Neurospora crassa OR74A: one gene and its partner. The main gene of each other region encodes a partner of the protein of the gene in region 2 in a complex. Links are inferred from orthologs where the notes say so. Each region holds a gene or a part of one and is shown on either strand. Other genes may lie near its edges. The genes, in order: trx and NCU10029.

Region 1 (2,865 bases), on a different chromosome or scaffold from region 2:
GCATCACCTGATAGTTGACTGTGATGACAACAGTTGATACTGGAACGCAAGAAGCATACTGAGACTAGAAAACATGACCATGTTCAGGCTACCAAATTAAAATATTGATTTTGAGGTCATCTTTCCGAGTCATTGTCGATAATCATTTCTGGTCTCCTTCCCTGCCGTTCATAGATCGGTTAGCCGTGAAATCAACTTATATAAACGTGATTAAGACTCACAGCATAGAAAGTGTGATGTCTCCCTTTATCTTTGCCCTCAGTTGCAAGTCGATATCCAAGTCCATATCGAGCCTAACGGCAAGAGCGCCACTGCGACTACCTCTTGTTGTCCCTTGGACCGATTGCTGCTGTTGTTGAAGCCTTTGTGGCTGATATTGCTGGATAACATTAGAGTCGCCTCTGTCTGGTGAGCTCCCAAGATAGCTCTCTGGGGTTGTGTCGCGAGACTTTTGCTTGCCATGTCTCTCGCCGTTACGTGAGGTTGACATAGTGCTGTTGAATAGTGGTGTGGCAGATGGGGGTCACGATGGAGTGTTATGCTGATATAGGGAAACGCCAAGAAAAACAAAAGGTCTTGTAGGATGGCCGACTGATAGGGTCAATGAGTCAAGGGCGGAGGTGATTGATCACTGTGTGTACTATCCAGTAGTGTACATAGTATATGATAGTTAAGTATCCGGCAGATATTGGGGCTCAAGGGTCACGGTCACGGTGTGATCATGCCCATGGGTACTTATCAGACCGTCGCCCGAAGATCCCATGACATCATAACCTGAACAACCGACAGTTTTCTATTCGGTTCATTCAGCAACAGCTGATCTCCAACCCCCGCCGAAAATAGTCAGACGCAAATGTCCATGTTGTAGTGTAGTAGTATGTACACTTGATCCACAACAGGGTGCTCTGTATGCTTTTGATCTCTTTTGTTTGTTTTCTTTCCTTTCCGAACCTCACGACGAGCCAGCGGCAGCGGCCTTCTCCTTTGCCAGACGGCCCATCTTCTCGGCAGCGGCCCGCAGACTGTTGACATCGGCGCCCTGGATCATGACGGAACCGTTGACGGCGACCTGCTTGCCGTTCTTGAAGAAGAGGAAGGTGGGCATGGCGGAGACACGGTAGTGCTGAGCAACCTGCTGGACGCTATCGACGTTGATCTTGGCAAAGGCGAGGAAGTTGGGGATGGAGAAGGTCTTCGCAAACTGGGCATACATGGGCGCAATGGCCTTGCAAGGCCCGCACCAGTCGGCGTAGAAGTCAGCGACGACGTACTGGGTTGTGTTGAGGAGGTTCGCAAACTCCTGGGCCGAGTTGATGTGCTTGACGCCGTCCGACATTGCGATGATGTTTGTGTGTGTTCGGTCGAGGGAGAATCGATTGCGAAGTAGATTGCTGCAAATTTTCACGGTTAAGTAACCTGAACTGCCCGTAGGAGATGGCTCCGGCGATAAGGGTTGTACACACCTTGGCTAAGAAATCGCAAGTTGCGGCGAGAGTTGCTGGCAGGCGTCGGCTTTCAACTTTGTTAGGGGACTACATAACCATTCACTATAACCGCTGGACGCGACCGTCACCGTGAGGTGAGCCGTGTCTGTCGTTGGCGGGGTAGGTAGAGGTACACAGTAGAAGGGGGTGGGTCATGGCTGATAACGTACCTGCGTACTGGACCTAGAGGTACCTACTATGTAGATAGGTAACCGATAAGCTCCCTGATCCAGCCCGCTCCATCGCCCAAGCCGCGATTGTGTCTCTTTGGCGATCTCGACTTATGTACGGTGGCCCAAGTTTGGGTTATACTCAATTGAAAACTGGTCCGAGCTTCCATTTGGCCTCAGCTGCAAGCTATTTTATATCAACGCCTCTATCCACTTCCCGTCCTTCACACCTATCAATGTAACAAAGTAAGCGCTAACCACCATCCATCTTTATATTCTTTTGATATTTTTCTTCTTCTCTCTTCCCCCCCCTTACTTTTCTTCCGTTTTTTCTTTTGCCCCTCAACCTCTCTCTCTTTCTTTCTCTTCGCTTTTTTCTTTTTTTTTCTTTTTCCTAAGTGGAAGGCGAAAGGATCCATTTGCATTATCACCTTAAAGGTACCCCAAATTTTTGGAATTTGGAGAAGGTCTAGGGGTCTATTTGCACTACTACTCAAAACCTTAGCTCCCGCCCATTGGCTCTATTGACTCCCATTGACTCCCATTAACTCCCATTGACTCTCATTACTTCATTGCTTCATTGCTTCATTGCTTCATTGCTTAGAGTTGGAATTGGAGTTGGATGTCGGGGTTGCATTAGTGTGCATTCGAATGGTACCCTTCGGTGCGAGTCTAGCGGTTGCCACTGCCAGGGACTTTTTTGCAACCAAAACTTTTCAATTGAGCATAACCCAGACTTGGGCCACCGTACTTATGCCAAGAGCCCATGTGCCTCAGATCACACACAACATGTGATGCAAATGCCTGCCGTCGATCTTTGCCAGTCTGGAGTGAGCAATTCTTTACTACCTCTACTACGCAGTACGCAGTATGTGTCGGCCGCTATATAAACGTCTCCATACCCTCCATACCCCTAGACCTCCCTTCCAGCATGAATTCTAGCTCGGGTGTACTCAAGTGCCCTATCTTGCCGCCTACTGAAGCCTGATCAAGAAACTTTGCCGGTAGGACGAAACGCAATGCCAATTTGGGTCGTGTATTATTGCCAAGTGATGTCTATCTTGAACCTCAACTTGCAAAGAGCCGGGAACCCAACGACTCGCGAAAGCCACTCGAACCGCAACGTCGATTACCCGTCACTACCATGAAAACCCGATCTCCACTCCTTAGATCAGTCCTAGGCCCAGTGGAGGTCAACCTCTCTGCCTTCC
Region 2 (2,885 bases):
AAACATTGAATTGCCCGCCCAGTTGACGGAGGGGGGAACTCAAGTTCACAGTAAATGACCAGCACCAGGTTAACTCTCAAGTCCAAGTCCAAGGATGGTGAGTATCTCTAGGTACATAGTAGATCTACAATTGGATGTGGAGGACGTACCGCAACTAGAATATGTTGTACGCGTATACGCTATACGCGTATTCTTGTTACCCATCAGGGCCCGTTCGTTTCACCAGTAAAGGCTCCCTGTAAATGATTTCAGTAATTGCGTGGATTTGGCGAGTTGTACGGGATATGCGTGAATGGTAGGTCTCATGATTCGCGATACCAGCCGGCGTTTCTTGAGGGCCAGAGGTGGCTGCGTAGATGTCCCGTAAAATCTCGCGATACTGGTTGGCATTTCCACGGAGGTCAAAGGAGGTGAAATAGGTAGTTTTCAGTACCTAGAGGTAAATTTGGGTAAATGGTGTTAGCTGATTGGCTCAATTTCGTAATGATGACCCCCCTACCTAACGACCCCAGGGCAGCAACGCCACAGGCTGCTGGAAACCCGGACACTGCCAGCCACTTGGGGGGGGAGCATGGAAAGATATGTGTGGCAGCAGTGCAGGCTTTTCCCTAGAGGTAGGTAGATGGTGAATTCGAGGTAGGTTTCTGGCTTGAGTAAGGGGAGGACGTAGGGGGCTGCATGACCAAGATGGGACGCTGGGCATCCCACAGCCTTCAATGATGCTGACACAGGAAACGGATGCAGGCGGCCCCGCTATAGAACCATTCTCAGCCTCAATGCGGGATGCCTTCCGTTGGGTAGAGGTATCCTGCTCGGCACCATACTGCGTAGCCGCCATCCAGATGTTCTGACACGGTACATACCTCTACAGCTTTCTGCAGCGTCTCTTCGGGCGGGTCGTGGTCTGGTCAGGTCGTCCGGGTCGTCCGGGTGGTCGGGTATCTTGTGTGTGCGGGTCGGCCTAGATCCGTCGTGGCGGGAGCCCAGGGCAGCTGGGGCTCGGTGCGGGCGGGCTGGATGTCGCTCCACTGCCCGTCGGTCGGGGACTTGTGGAGGCACCCTCTGCCGCGGTGAACCGACGTAACATGGCCAAAAAGAGCGCATTCAAAATTTGCAAACAACGCCATCTCCATTTCACCTTTCGTCATCCACCTTGGTCCACTTTCATATTACTCAGCCCTACGCAGCTTCATAAAGCCCCCGACCTCCATCCATCAGCTTCGCCAAGTCCCATTCCGAACAACGTAACGCATGTCTTCGCTCCTCGGTCGCATCTTCCGTTCCCTCAACACCCAGACCTCCAAAATGTCCACTACCGCCTTCCCTTCCAGCCCCGTCACCGTCCCTGAGGGCGCCGAGAAGGCCACCGTCGCCGCCGGCTGCTTCTGGGGCGTTGAGCACCTCTACCGCAAGCACTTTGCCGACAAGGGTCTTTACGATGCGCGTGTTGGCTACATTGGCGGAGACGCCTCCAACCCCTCCTACAAGCAGGTTTGCTCTGGCAACACTGGCCGTAAGTCTTTTACCTCTCTGGCGACGCCTTCTGCCGCCCCTTTTGGGGATGCGGTCCCCCTCGCTTCAAGCTTGTTCACTCGACTGTGTCGCTGACAAGACCAAAGACGCCGAAGCTACCCTCCTGATCTACGATCCCACCCGTCTCTCCTACACCCAAATTCTCGAGTTCTTCTACAAGATGCACGACCCCACGACGCACAACCAGCAGGGGCCCGATCGTGGCGCGCAGTATCGCAGCGGCATTTTCTATCACAACGATGAACAGAAGAAGGTTGCCGAGGAGATCACCAAGAAAGCCAACGAACAGTGGTGGGGTGGTAAGATCGTTACTGAGATCCTCCCCGCCAAGGAGTGGTGGGACGCCGAGCAGTACCACCAGCTGTACTTGGTGAACAACCCCGATGGGTACGAGTGCCCCAGTCACTTCTTGCGCAAGTTCCCTGAGCTCAAGTAGGCTCTTGGTGTTTGACCAACTGTGCCGCCCCGAGCGCGCACCAAACTGAGTCCTGGGCGTAGCAAGAGTGCGCCCAGCACAACCTGGGGATGACATTCGGGCAGGATCCGGACGAGACATGATGGGATGGTAATTCAACACAGCGGGATCCCGGACAACATACACGGCATGGGCGGATTTAACATACTAGCGACAACATTGCATCAGGCGGCGTTTGGGACGGCAGAAAGATGTTGGGTTTTGCCGTTTTTTTTTTCGGAGTTATCTTGGGATATCTATCTAAATTTACAAGTAGAATACAAACAACTGCCTGAACCGAATCGGACCAACAGCTCCTTCTTGCGTGACTCCGTCAACAACCGACACTGAGCAAAGTGCTGACAAAAACTTCAAAGGCAAACGATCTGGTATCTTGTTCAACGCTTTCTTGGTTCGACTCATCCTAGAAACACCGCTTACTTCCTGCGGTTCTGCTGCATCATGAGAATCTGCACCATGCGAACAAAGATGTTGAGGAAGTCAAGCTCAAGCGAGATGGACTCGTTGACGGGATCCTCCTTGATGACGCCAGCCTGGGCAAGACGAGCATGGTAGAGAACCCTCTGGACATCATAGAGGGTAAAGCCACCGAAGACAGCAAGACCACCATAGAGCCAGAGGTTCTCGGTGAAGGCAAGGGTGCGGACGGCAGTGGCGGGGAGAACCAGAGGAGCGAAGCCAGAAACGGCGACAATGGCAGCACCGGCGAGAAGAGGACCGCCAATGTAGAGGTACTTCTCCTGCTTAGCGGTGGCACCGACAAACGAGATGGCGCCCATCATGGCGATGGTGTAGAGACCGGCGCGAGCGAGGAGAGCGGGAGGGGCCATGGCGAGGAGGGGAGCGACAAAGGCGGCCTGGGTAGCGTTGAAGACGG

What was found.
Region 1: the proteins of NCU10029 (region 2) and trx are in contact, whole or in part, in a crystal structure (PDB 3PIN), measured with the Saccharomyces cerevisiae proteins. The link is inferred for Neurospora crassa OR74A from reciprocal best matches to the Saccharomyces cerevisiae genes MXR1 and TRX2. Residues at the interface, in NP_010960.1 of Saccharomyces cerevisiae: Trp27, Gly28, His31, Gly173, Tyr174, Ala175, Cys176, Pro177, Thr178, His179; in NP_011725.3 of Saccharomyces cerevisiae: Trp30, Cys31, Gly32, Pro33, Asp59, Val70, Ser71, Ser72, Met73, Pro74, Gly90, Ala91, Asn92.

Annotation. Positions count from the first base shown.
Region 1 is NC_026503.1:671,932-674,796, reverse strand, and holds trx (thioredoxin I), read right to left. Parts: upstream 1,566-2,865; 5' UTR 1,464-1,565; intron 1,392-1,463; 5' UTR 1,337-1,391; coding exon 953-1,336; 3' UTR 610-952; downstream 1-609. Other genes in the region: NCU05730 (catabolic 3-dehydroquinase), read right to left, coding at 2,832-2,865. UniProt on the Saccharomyces cerevisiae protein: Participates as a hydrogen donor in redox reactions through the reversible oxidation of its active center dithiol to a disulfide, accompanied by the transfer of 2 electrons and 2 protons.
Region 2 is NC_026501.1:9,765,228-9,768,112, reverse strand, and holds NCU10029 (peptide methionine sulfoxide reductase msrA), read left to right. Parts: upstream 1-1,080; 5' UTR 1,081-1,251; coding exon 1,252-1,513; intron 1,514-1,619; coding exon 1,620-1,969; 3' UTR 1,970-2,294; downstream 2,295-2,885. Other genes in the region: NCU10028 (bax Inhibitor family protein), read right to left, coding at 2,425-2,885. UniProt on the Saccharomyces cerevisiae protein: Has an important function as a repair enzyme for proteins that have been inactivated by oxidation. Catalyzes the reversible oxidation-reduction of methionine sulfoxide in proteins to methionine.